Linked DNA regions of Caenorhabditis elegans. The protein of the gene in region 1 purifies or fractionates together with the protein of each later gene. This does not show direct contact. Each region holds a gene or a part of one and is shown in the gene's direction. Other genes may lie near its edges.

The links. Proteins that work in one complex are often made in the same cells at the same time.
Region 2: the proteins of C17G10.6 (region 1) and chl-1 fractionate together in Caenorhabditis elegans (co-fractionation; one large-scale study listed by BioGRID). This does not show direct contact.

What each region holds. Positions count from the first base shown.
Region 1 is NC_003280.10:5,599,381-5,604,992, reverse strand, and holds C17G10.6 (ShKT domain-containing protein), read left to right. Parts: upstream 1-1,698; coding exon 1,699-1,807; intron 1,808-2,005; coding exon 2,006-2,282; intron 2,283-2,454; coding exon 2,455-2,535; intron 2,536-2,585; coding exon 2,586-2,651; intron 2,652-2,694; coding exon 2,695-2,935; intron 2,936-3,163; coding exon 3,164-3,262; intron 3,263-3,306; coding exon 3,307-3,996; coding exon of another isoform or gene 3,997-4,050; intron 4,051-4,487; exon of another isoform or gene 4,488-4,531; coding exon 4,532-4,799; exon of another isoform or gene 4,800-4,842; coding exon 4,843-5,063; 3' UTR 5,064-5,085; downstream 5,086-5,612.
Region 2 is NC_003281.10:10,399,214-10,407,096, reverse strand, and holds the start of chl-1 (ATP-dependent DNA helicase chl-1), read left to right. Parts: upstream 1-1,856; 5' UTR 1,857-1,860; coding exon 1,861-2,198; intron 2,199-2,259; coding exon 2,260-2,362; intron 2,363-2,827; coding exon 2,828-2,941; intron 2,942-3,734; coding exon 3,735-4,260; intron 4,261-5,048; coding exon 5,049-5,359; intron 5,360-5,666; coding exon 5,667-5,878; intron 5,879-6,284; coding exon 6,285-6,690; intron 6,691-6,847; coding exon 6,848-7,069; intron 7,070-7,542; coding exon 7,543-7,803; 3' UTR 7,804-7,883. Other genes in the region: hat-1 (Histone acetyltransferase type B catalytic subunit), read left to right, coding at 1-403, 451-510, 590-1,262. UniProt on the Caenorhabditis elegans protein: Required for normal cell proliferation and chromosome stability. Plays a role in DNA repair during replication.

The sequences.
Region 1 (5,612 bases):
TAAATGAACAGCCAACATTTGTTGATATACTGAATCCTATTTCAACACTAGTTTATCATAAAATAAAAAAAATATCTGAAGCCTCTGAAACCCCTTAGAAGTTGGGCTTCCATTGTAGCTTTTCAGGTTTCAGATTAATTTCTCTTATTTGATAACTGGTTTCCGAAGCCCATGCCTATTTATTCACTTAACAATTATAACATCTCAAGAATCAGATTTTCAATGTCGTATCTAATTGTGTCATTAAATGTCTAAAAGTCAAAAAGTGTGTCTTGCCGTCGAAGCACCTACAGTACATTTAGAATTCCCCTTTGATAAGAAAAAAACAAAAATGATGTCAGCCATTGTAAAATGGGTACGAAAAAACTTGGAAACTACGAATTTCTACCCCATTAGGCTAAATTAGAAAAAGATGGACAAGGAACAATTACGTGCAAGACGAAAAATACGATCTGAATAATTTAGAGGTAATATGAAATTTTTTTGCAAAACAGTTAGGGTAGGTGGTGCACTCTTGATTATTTTTGGACTTGCAACTTGAATGTTTTCACATAACAACTTTTGAAAGGTATAAAAATTTGGTGGGATTAACCTGGTTTCATTTAAAACCAAACATTTCCGCAAATTTTTGAATAATTTTTTTCAGAAATGTTATGTATATTCTACAGCTGTCTACTGTTGAACAGTAAGTAATCTTTGAAATCCGGAACTTCATACTGTGTTACTAATTTTTGGAAAAGAAATTCCAATATCTTGCTTTTTTAAAAATAATTTTTTTGAAATTATTGGGTGGCATATCGAAAAGTATTTTTCAAAGAATACACGTACTTCACTATCAAAAATACAACTTTTAAGAAGTAATCAGTTTTTTTAGTGGTTGTTGTTTTCAATAATTTGAAAAATTAGTTTCGAATGTTATTTTTCAAAACTTGTTATTTAAAAAGTCACTTGATCCTTTCCTTTCAAAAATAAATAGTAAAATTTGAAGTACAGAAAATATTTAAAATAGTAAAGTGCTTATCATCTTCAATCAAAATTCGATAGATTAAAGATTATGTATCATGTTTTGAGAAGTTTATCTGATTAGACTTCCTGATGAGGTCGTCAGCTGACAGATAATTAAGTAAAAAATGTGGTTATTATGGGTAAATGTATTACCTGAAATGATGAACTTCACTGATAATTCCAGAACACCCCAATTCTTGTTTAAAAAATTCAGACAAGTAAATATTACATTTGACATATAATAGGGAGAAACTTAACCTCTGTAAAATGTCACATTTAAATCTAAATCCCCACACAAAAAAGTAAGTAATACATTAGAGTAATTAGATGAACAAGCAAACGATGAGTGCTTTTTTTGCAAGTCTTGTATTCCAAATAATAACTTGTCTCAATTCTACTTCTTCCTTCCTCTTTTGTATTTTGTTGTGTTCGGTTTCACACATACATCTCTCCCCGCTGACTAATGGTCTAATAATGGATTGAACGGGTTCCAAATTGAGACCCACTTTTGACATTTACTAGTAACTTTGTCTACATTCTTTAACTCTGTTCTTGACGAAAAATCATCAGTTTTCCCTCATTTTCTCGACTACTTTTTTTCTTGAAAAAGTGAAACGGTTTTCAGACAAATCCACCCTCTTAATTGTTACCAGATGAACTGATTTCCGCGTTTCGGAATATATTCTATCAGTGATGAAAAATCAAATTAATTTTCAAAAATGGTTGATTATTTTAACAATTATTTCCGGTCTCACTAGAGTTAGAAGTCAGCTGGAAGATATGTCAAATGTTGGAAATATTGGTGAGTTTTTAAGCGTTTTTATCCATAATGTTAATTTAAAAGCACTTAATCATTTAATTATAAATACAGAACGTTAAAAGGCAACCTTCGCCTGCTTCGCGCAAACAACTCAGTTCTTCATGTTTTAATTAAAGTTGAATTACAGTAGTAGTCAATAATTGTTTTTAAGTGTTCATAAATTCCAAATAATTGTTTCAGTTCTCACACAAGATCCACGAGACCAGGATCCATTCTATCAACATATGTATGCAAGAGCTGAAGGTATGCCATTAGCAGCAGTAAATTCATTGGTACACAACGTAAAGCATCAATCGGAAGGAAACTTCAAGATATGGGATCAGTTGCCTTCTGCTAGATTGCGTGGATATTCGACAACTACAAAAGATCCAAAAATCAAAACAACAACTCCTCCATGGGTACGAGGTAGGCACCGACCACGACATGGAGGACACGATAAAGCTCCTTGGAATCAAAAGTGAGTTCAATGTGTATTGTCTGCTAAGCATCGCCATTTTTTAATGTTTGGCTAATTTATAAGAGTGTAAGAAAGTTACATTTTCTTTCCTTCTCATACCTCTGCTGCAACTTTTTTAGCTACTGGAAAGTTAGTAAATTGGATTGTTTTTGAAATATTTCTTAAGATTCAGCGATCCAGCTCACAGCGATCATGATCATGGAGTGGATTATGATGAACAAACCACTCCTCCTCCACCAAGGCACCGAGGAAGGTTTGTTTCCAGTTTCAGAGGAATTCTAAACGGGATATTCCATATTACAGACGACCTACTGGTGGCCGAGGCAGACGACCTCCAACTCCTCAGGCGCCCGTCCGTGTGCCAATGGGGTAAGTGAAAAAGTGTTTTTATACCATACTTCAATTGTTACAGAAAACACGAGGATCTTGTAGAAAATGGTGATGGCGGCGGGGGATTTGTTGCTGGAGATGAGGGCACAAGGCATGCGGTGGTTGACTCAGAAGGAACAAAACATGGTGCACCCGACACAGAAGGTACCCGTCACGATGCACCAGATTTAGAAGGAACTGAAAATTCGGAAGGTGTTAAAGTAACAACGAAAACACGTTCTGGAAGAGATGGAGGAGGGTTATTTGCTTCATCGGATGGTGAAGTAAGTGTATTAAAATTTTAAGCAGTTTTGGAAACTTTTGTTCAATATGAAAATTTTTTCTCAAATCACATATTTTTGCTTAAGTTTTGGGGATTCCACTTCCGTTTAGGGGAAATGTATCAAAAAATGAGAGAGGCTAGAGGGAACGTCCCCCATAACTGCCATAGCTTTAAGATTCAAACTCGTTTTACTATGTAAAATCCATAACTTCCACTTCATGTATTCCAGGGCACTAAAGTGCAACCTGGAGCAGGCGGTGGTGACGGTGAAGGTACAAAAGCTGGTGAAATCGATTTGGCAGAACTGAAAAAGGGTGGTGGTATTCATGTGAGTTATTGTAAATTTGGGATGGTTCACGAATATTATTGCAGAGAATAAGAACAGAAGGAAAAGGAAAAACAACCGGTCAAGATAAGACTGATGAGGATGAAGATGAGGATGATGACGGTGCGAAGCATGGTAAAAAGTCAAAATCAAAAAAGAAAAAAGGAAAGAAAAATGACGATGACGAAGATGATCACAAAAAAGGAAAGAAGGGAAAGAAAGGGAAAAAAGGAAAAAAGAAGAATAAGGATGATGATGAAGATGAAGATGAGGACGATGATGAGGATAATGGAGATTTGGAAAGAGTTGATGGAATTGTAAAAATACCAAAAGCAATTGATGGAAATACAGATGATCATGAAGAAGATTATGAAGATGAAGATGAAGAGGAAGAAGATGATAATGAGGATGATGAGAATTCAAGGAAGAAAAAGAAAGGAAGAAAGAATGGTCGAAAAAAGAATAATGAAGATGAAGAGGAAGACGATAATGATGAAGATGATGATGGAAATAATGAAGAGAATGGATATAAAAAGAAACAAAAAAGGAAGAAAATCAATTGTCCACCACCACAAAGAGAACATTATCAACCACCACAACCACTTCCACAGAACTATAATATTCCACCCGATCAAGTACCATATCCCCATCCAGATGCATATGGCTACACGTTTCCAACAGTTACTACAACAACCACAATGCCTCCATCATACCCGTATTATCCCGGAAAAATAGGAGTACGTTCAATTTCAAAACCTCTTTCAAAAAATGTGTTCAATTCGAGCACTTAGATTTAGAAATAGAAATTGATCCGATATTTTTAGAGCATTATTTACTATTTTGGAGCCCGTAAAACTGCTCCAAAAGGTTTAGAAAAAAATCATACAACATTTTATCCCCAACCTGAATTTTGCGATTTTCATCCCACAGTTACGGTACACAGTCTTGACATGACAAATTTGGGTTAAGTGAGAAAAGGTGTGCAGTTAGTCGCGTTCAAAAATTTCAAATAAATGAATATTTTCGATCGAAAAACTATGAAAGCTCGTTGAAAATTCCGCAGAAACAAGAATTCAAAATTACAGTAATCTTTAAAGACGCACACCATATTGAACTCAAAACAAAATTGTCGTGTTGAGACCAGGTACCGTAGTTTTGCCACAAAAATCGCAAAATTTTACTTCTGGTGAATAAAATGTGTTGCCCTTGAGATAGCATTCTCTATCATTTTAAAATTAAATACAGTTTTATTTTTTCAAAAAATCATTTCAGGATGATTATCATAACTTTGAGAGTATGGATTGTAAGCAAGAACGGGAGAACTACGAAGAAAATGAAGATGGAGATGATTACTCGGAAGAGAAAAAACAAAAGAAAAAGAAGAAAAAATCAAAGAAAAATAACAAAAGAAAAGGAAAGAAGAAGAGCAAAAAAGGAAAGAAAGGAAGAAAAAATCATTTGAGTTTAGACTTCCTTACGTCGAAAGAGAAAATCGATCAGGGTAAGAGAAATCGAGGGCAGATTCTTGATGAATTACATGGTAAATTACCAAGAACTAAATATTCAAAACTTATTAATTCCAGCTGGTCAAGATTTGAAGAAACTTCAAAAGTCTTCCAAATCAGGAGAATCAGGTGTTGATTGTGCAACTGCAGTCGACGAGTTCCCCATGAAATGTGGTGCTTGGAAATCTGCAGGATTCTGTGATACAAATCAAGCAACACAATTTTTATGGTGTCGTAAAACCTGTCTCTGCTCATCGACAATCAGCACAACAACGAGTTCGTCAAATACCGAAGAATAGCTGAAACTGCCATATAATGATTTTTTCTTTCCGACCTCTATATAATAAATAAGTTTACAATCGTTGCTAATTGGTTTCCAAAATTATCAAAACCCGTTCGTTCGCCTTTATCTGCATGAACCAGAAGACGTATCAACTGGCCTGGGAGTTGGATCTAATTTCTTCATCACGGGTAGAAAACTATACACTTGCCGACTAGCATTTAAGTGAAGCAGCCGACTTATTGCGAGTTCCGCGTATTGCTATCTTCTCTGTGTCGGTATGCTCCTCCCCCACGAGGAGAACTTTGATGAATATAGAAAGTTTGGAAAGCATTTCTGTGGAAACTTGAAGAATTTCAAGCGCATTCCAAAAATAATTTTTTTGAAAAATATCTCCCATAACGTTTCATTCTAAAAACTTTTTTATTGTATGATGTTTTAGTAGCCTCAAACCCATAAAATAAACACGTTTTGAAAAAACCTGAAAAAAAAAACCAATATATACTTAAGAATAATGGCACAAAATGATATAAAAGTGTGGTACTAGTAGAACTAGAGTTCATTAAAA
Region 2 (7,883 bases), on another chromosome or scaffold:
TCAGTACTGCGCCACGCTACGAACCAGAGATGGTCTATCAGCATTTCGGAGATGAGGAGACAATCTTCGGCTACGAAGATCTCGAGGTTACCATCCATCACACAGCTCAAACCCTCTACAGCTACATAAACGTGAGCTATTCCTCAAAAGCGAAAAACGAAAACGGACTGGAGGCCGATGACGTCATTGATAAGCTGGTTCATCCAGACGTTCGTCCGAATGTTCTGGTTTCGGGAAAAGAAGAATTCCAGCAGAAGCTCATCAAACAGAAGGATTTCAAGCCTTTCGGTGAGATGGTACACAAGTTTGAGCTGAAAGGAAAGAGCTACGAGGTCTACAAAGTCGCCGAGCAAACCGAAGAGTTCAACCTTTTCCTAGAAAGAATCCAGACTCTCGGCATGTTGTGAGTGCTTAAAAAATAAGGATTTTCCTACAAAATTTTTTTTTCAGCTTCATCGAGTGCTGCTCACTGACAGATAACACTGAAGACAATTGGCTTCACTATTTTATGTAAGTTGAGAAGATTTCGCGGCGAATTCCAGAAATTACAAAAAATCGAACGCATTTCAAATATTTTTCAATTTTCCAGCTACGAACGCTGCGACACCGGTGAAGGAGATGGAAGTACTGTGGCCAACGTGGCTGGCTACGCGACACTCTTCAAATTCTACAACTACATTGACAGGATCCGTCCACGAATTGCACAGATGCTATTGCTCCCTCAATACAGAAAATCTGGAATTGGAGCCAGTTTCATGGAATCTTTCCTGCGAGATCTTCGTGCCTCTCCAGAAGTTTTCGACGTAACCGTCGAGTCTCCCGGAGATCAGTTCGTCAGCCTCCGTGACTATGTGGATTGTGTCAACTGCATGACACTGCGGGAATTTGCACCGGAGAATCTCAAGAGGGGATACTCGGACAAAATGCGTCAGGCCGCACTGGAAAAGCTCAAGATTTCCAGACAACAAGCCCGTCGAGTCTATGAAATTTTGCGTTATCGTGCTACAAATAAGAAGGATAAAGAAGAGCTGAAAGCGCAGAGAATCGATGTGAAACGTCGGTTGTATGCACCAATGAAGAAATCGGATCAGGACTGGAAGCGTCTGAATCTCGCGTTGACACCCGATGAGCTTCGACAAGCGGCCTGTGGACAAATGGATGAGGAAACCAAGTTCTCGACGCTCTCACAGAATTATGATCGGCTTATGGAGGCCTATCAAAAAACTATTGATCGAATTGAGCAGCATCCAAGCATTTTTTAATCGTTGTATCTGTATCTTATTTTAATTTGAAATTACATGTGGGATTTTTGTATTTTTTTTAAAGCTAATTACCACGAAATTCGTCTAAATTTGCTGTAAATTTGCAAAATTCCCTTGCCGTTATTACCCATACGCGAAATTTTGCGCCAAAAGTACGGTATCCGGTCTCGAAGAGAAAAATGTATGATAAATGCGAAAAAGTGTGCGCCTTTAACGATTTTTATCAGGTTTTCATAGTTTTTCCCAGCATTTGTTAAAGTTTTTTTGGGTTTTGATTGTGATCTACGAAAAATCGACGAAAATCCGCAATAGCAAAAGTTTGAAGCTACAGTACTCTTTAAAGGCGCACAAATTTTCGCGTTTAACAAACATGTTTCGTTGCGAGACCAGGCACCGTATTTTTGGCGTGAAAATCGCTTTGGGTCCTATTTGACTTATTGTGAATGTTTCATGAATTTTTCCGCTCTCTAAACTCTCAGCTAAAAATCGAATTCCCAGTTGAAAATCCCGAATATATTTTTATCTTCTTATATATTATTCTTCAATTACAAAAAAAAAACTCACCGAAATAAATGATCTCTCACTCTATCCCAGCAGAATGGACGAATTCTCATTTCCATTTCAACCATACGACATTCAACTCAATTTGATGCGAGAAATCCGCCAATGCATTGAACAACGGAAAATTGGCATTTTCGAATCTCCAACAGGCACCGGAAAGTCGCTCAGCGTGTTGTGCTCGACGATGACGTGGCTGGAAGCTGAAGAACTACGAATTTCGACTGATTTGAGCACACGGCTCGGGGAGGTTCACACGAAAATCACGGAATGCGATAAAATCACCACCGCCGACAATTGGGAGACGGCAGTTCGTGAGAAAATGCGAGCTCAAGACGTAGAGACGGAGATTTTGGAGCAAATTCAGAGTCGGGAAAGGTGTTGGAAATTGAATAATTATTCTTTTTTAATTTTTTTTTAAATGAAAAAAATCATTCAGATTGCAGTCACGAATCGATCAAGCCCGGCGAGGAATGGTCGAGGTCTCCAGAAAGAGAAAAGCCCCGGCCAGGGATACGGATCAGTTTCTCGAACCTCAAGATGTAATAATTGAACTTTTATCCGGAAATTCACATGTGGCTGACCGTTTTTTCGGAAAATTTCAAGATTTCTGACTAGAACCTGGCTTTTTTTTTCTGGAAAAACCTTGAAATACGCAAAAATTCCAAATTTTTAAATACAAACCTTCAGTATTGCTAATTTTTTGAGAAATGTGAAAAAATGTTAACAGTATTATATAGCAAGATAGATATAGAATAGATTCCACAATATGAATAGATACACAATAGAATAGTTACATAGTAATACATAGAATAGACACTTGATGCCTCACTTTAAAGGCGCACGCTGTTTTCTGAGTGGGTCTCGCCACGATCCCAGCCACAGTAGTCGCTACAAATTTGAAGTTTCATAAATTGAATATGCCAGGTTTTCAAGAAAATGTTATTCTAGAAGTTTCTATTATAGAAATAATACAGAAATATCAAAATTCAAAATAAAATTTCCAGGAAGCCGCCCCATCGGAAGAATACAATAACGACGAGAAAAGTGAGAAACAGCGGGATTCCGATTTTTTCGATGATGTCGATGAAGAAGAGGAGAAGCCACTGAAATGTCTGAAAGTACAGAATTTATTTCAATATTTCGGAAAGTGCAATCGCGCTCCATAGCCAAATGAAAGTGCAATTCAAACTTTTTCAAGCATTTTTGTGACAGTAACTGTATATCATTAAAAATTGGAAAATCTTGGGTTTTACCGCCAATACCTAACGAGACCCATGTTTCGGGGGCAGAGCGTTTTTATTTTTTATTTGGCTATGGAGCGCGATTGCACTTTCATCTCAAAAGTCGCATATAGCTGTCATATTATTACAGGAACAAAAAATTCTTAGAATGCGTATTGGGCAACATATTTGACGCGCAAAATATTCCGACGCGAAAACTACAGTAATCCTTTGGATGACTACTGTAGCGCTTGTGTCGATTTACGGGCAATATTTTTGAAATTAATTTCTTTTCAAAAAGTTACAACGGCTCTCAATTTTCTTTAATTTTTCGTTTTTAAAAATCAATAAATAAAAGGTTTTTGTAAATCGACACAGGAGCTACAACAGCAATTTAGAGGATTACTGTAGTTTTCGCTTTGAGATATTTTGCGCGTCAAATATGTTGCCCAATACGCATTCTCAGAGTTTCGTGTTACCGTAATACGTCTTTTTTTTTTTTAATGAAAGTTGTCTGAAAAAAATAATCGAAATTAAGTCGGAGAATTTTCAATTTACCGAACAAATTTTTTTAAATGAAAATTTGGTTTTTTTGTAAATTTTCAAAACTGCATTAAAATTTTTTTAATTGAAAACTGAAAAATCAATAATTTTTTATTCAAACTGTCTTGAAATTTTCTGAATTTTCCAGATTTTCTACGCATCACGAACACATTCTCAATTGGAGCAACTTGCCGAGGAGCTCGCAAAAACTAGATTTCAACCCAGAATAGTTACATGTGCCTCACGAGGAACATTATGTGTAAATGAAGAAGTCAAAAAGTTGAAATTAAATCATTTAATCAATGAAAAATGTATGGAATTGCGAAAAAACGGAATGTCGGAAAAGGAAAAAGTTCAGAAATTGGAGAAAGGAACCACGAAAAAGACAAAAACCTGTGCGACTTCATGCGAATTCTACAATTCCACACAAATCGAAGATGTAGTGAATGGAGTCCTCTCGAACAAATTGAAAAGTACACTTGAAGTGTCAAAACAGGGAAAACTTTCCAATGGATGCCCATATTTTGCTACAAGAAAATCTGTTCCACAGTGTCAACTTGTTCTTCTTCCATATCAAGTTTTGCTTCATGATGGAACACGAAAAGCATGGGGAATTGAATTAAAGGATAATGTTATTGTACTCGACGAGGCACATAATGTGTTGAATACTATTAGTTCGTTTTTTTTTCGGAAATTGGAAAAAGTTTCGAAAAATGGCTTCAAAAATTGTTAGAATAATTTTTTTCAAATTTAAAAATAATCAAAATTTAATTTTTTTCAATTTTCTTCCAAAAATTTTTTCTTCATATTTTTTAATTATATGTTTACAAAAATCACAGTTTTTCATTTAATGTTTTTTGTTCAAAAAATTTCAAAAAAATTCAAAAAACTCTACTTTTCAACTAAAAATAAATGTTTTTCATTAATTTTTTAAATGAATTAAATCTTTTTCAAATTTAACTTTTTTTACAGAACTCGACTTGAAAAACGTTTTTTTTTTCAAAAAAAATTTCAAAAACATTGAAATAAAATCCTTATTTATTCCAAAAAACGAATAATTTCAATTTTTAGTTTTTAAAAATACGGAAATCACTATTTTTCTTTTTTTTTTCAAAAAAAAAAAAACGAAAAAAAAATCTGCTTTTCAATAAAAAAAAATTTTATTTCAAAAAAGCACATTTTTCAATTTAAAAAATTCAAAAAATCACAATTTTCAAAATATTTTTTTTTCAGAAAATCGCTAATTTTATTCAAAAAATTTTCAAAAAAAAAACAATTTTTCAATATACAAAAATTTCTAAAAATCACTGAAAAAACTATTTTCCAATTTAAAAAATCGTTATTTTTCAATTAAATTGTTTCCTAAATAATTCCCTGAAAATCACTTTAAAAAAATTTCCAAACCTTTTTTTTAAAAAAAAAACCTCCCGGAAATTTCCAATTTTAAAGGAATTTTTTTCAGGTTCCCTCTACTCTGCTGAAATTTCCACGAAATCCCTAACCCTCGCACTGCGTCTAATTCGAGAATACAATGCTCACTACAAGCTGAAGCTTCTGGCTCATAACCTACTTTACATGAAACAACTGGAATCACTCACCAGCAAAATGCTCATTTTCTTAAATAGCCAATCAAAAGAAGATGTGATGACGATGGCTCAGTTGGCACGAAATTTGAATATTCTAGAAATTAATCTGTTCAAATTGGCCGAATATATGGAGAAGACGGATTTGTGCAAGAAATTTCATGGATTTTACATGAGATTACAGAAAGAAGTAATTAATTCCAAAAATCGAAAAATTCACTTTAAAAAATTAAGAAAAATACCTCAGAAACAGAAACAAATTTTCAAAAAAAATTAAAACGTATCATAAATTCAAACTGAAATTTTCATTTTTTACGAAAAATATCAATTTTTTCATAAAAATTTGAATTACCTATCATTTTTTTAAAGTATTACAATAATTTTTTTCTAAAAAGTATTCAAAAAAAGCCATTAAAATTGAAAATGAAGATCCAGGAAAAATTGATTTACCGTGAAAATTCCGAAGCCTAAAACCTAGAATCCAATAACTTTTCCAGGAAATCAAGAAAGAAAATGAGAAGCCAAAACTAACCGGAATCCAGAAACTCATGGCTGCAAAAGAAGCGGAGCCTGAGCCAGAAGCTGAGCCTCTTCCACCGCCAAAACCCGTTCCTTCTCCACTTTTTTCGCTGAAATCGTTCATCGACGCATTAACCAACAAATGCGAAGATGGCCGAATTATTGTGGAAAAGTCGGCCACCGAAGCAAAGTATGATAGCAACGATTTTTGAACGTGACCGTGAAAAACAAATCGGTGGCCGAGTTTTGGGTTTTGCTTTTTTTTTTTGAAAATCGACTTCCCCGCAAAAGTGTGCTGATATTTATTGAGACTATTTTTCTCACATTGGAAAAATCGGTCATCAATAGTTTTTCTCATAAAAAACTAGGCAAGCATATTTATGTTGAGTAAACTTCGGCCACCAATTTTTTCAGAATAGGAAAAGTTCGGCCACTGACTCCGTTACCAAAATGTGAAAACTAGGCCACTAGTTTTATTCGGGCAGAACTCGGCCACTGCTTTTTAATACTGAAAGTTCGGCCAGCTAATTTTATTTGAGTAAAATTCGGCCACCGATTTTTTTTTCCAGAAAATCCGAAAACTTTTCAACTTCCAGATTCCGATTCATGCTCCTAAATCCGGCGGATCGTCTTTCCGAAGTGGTCACTTCCGCCCGAGCCACAATCCTCGTCGGTGGCACAATGGAGCCAGCTCAGCTTCTCGTGGAGACCCTATCCCGTGGATCGATCGGCGCCGACTCAATCCGTCGTTTTTCGTGTTGCCACGTCATTGATGATTCCCAGCTGCTCGCGGTAACCGTAGAACGAACTGTCGACGGAAAACCATTCCAACTCACATATCAGACACGTGGCGCCGATACCACGTTGAGATCGTTGGCCACGTCAATTCAGGCCCTGATTCCGCATATTCCGAATGGAGTTGTGATCTTTGTGCCGTCATACGACTTTTTGTTCAATTTCCAGAAAAAGATGAAGGAATTTGGGATTTTGAAGCGGATCGAGGTAGTTTTCGTTTCGAGACCCTTCCTGGGATTTTACCGTAGAATAATATATTTTTGTTAAAACGAAAATAAGAAAAAATTCAAATTTTGCATCAAATCTCAATAAATATCCAAAAAGTACGCTAGAGCACATTTGCATTGTCTTTGTTTTTTTTCAGGAAAAGAAGGCCGTATTCACAGAAAGCCGGCAACCAACATCAGACGTCTGGGACCGATTCAGCCGAGCTGCAAAAACATCGAAAGGAGCCATTCTATTTGCTGTCGTCGGCGGTAAAATGAGCGAGGGAATAAATTTTTGTGATGAGCTCGGACGGGCGGTCATTGTTATCGGATTACCGTATCCGAATAAGACCAGCGTCGAGTTGAGGGAACGGATGAAGGTAATAGTGATGGACTCTAAAAATATGGAAAAGCAGATTTAGCGTAATTTTTCTAAAATGGAAATCCTAGACCAATTTACAGGAATCCTTGGTCAGCGAATTTTAGACCACCAGTTGATTTTTAAATTCTAGGCCACCATATCACTATAATTTTAGGCCACCCATTACTATATATCGAGGCCACCCACTAGATTAAGAAATTCTAGACCACCCCATTACAGAATTTCTAGGCCACCATATCACTATAACTCTAGGCCACTACTTCACTCAAATCATAGGCCATCAAATGACTACAGTTCTAGACCACGAAATCAGAATCTAGGCCATCACGTGAATCAAATTCTAGGCCACCTATTGAGCTAAATCCTTGGAAATTGTAGGCCACACTTTACTCGGATCCTAGGCCACCACGCAAGAACACAAAAGGGCCACCCTCCCCCCAATAACTCAAAATTTCAAAATGTTTTTTTCAGTTCCTCGACACTCAAATGCCGAACGGTGGAAACCTGCTCTACGAATCTCTATGCATGCACGCCGTGAATCAAGCCATCGGTCGAGCAATCCGTCACCGCCGAGACTACGCGGCCGTCTATCTCTTCGACGACCGCTACGCAAAGGAGTCCACTCGGAGAAAGTTGTCCACGTGGATTGGAGATCGCACTCAAGTCAAGTTGGGATTTGGCGAGATTATTCGAAAGACGAGGAGCTTTTTTGAAGCGAATTCTAAGAAATAATTAGAATATTTTTTCTTCATTTTTTTGGTGTTTTTTATTTTGCCCGGTTGCTCTAAAGATTCCTCATTCCTTGTGTGTGT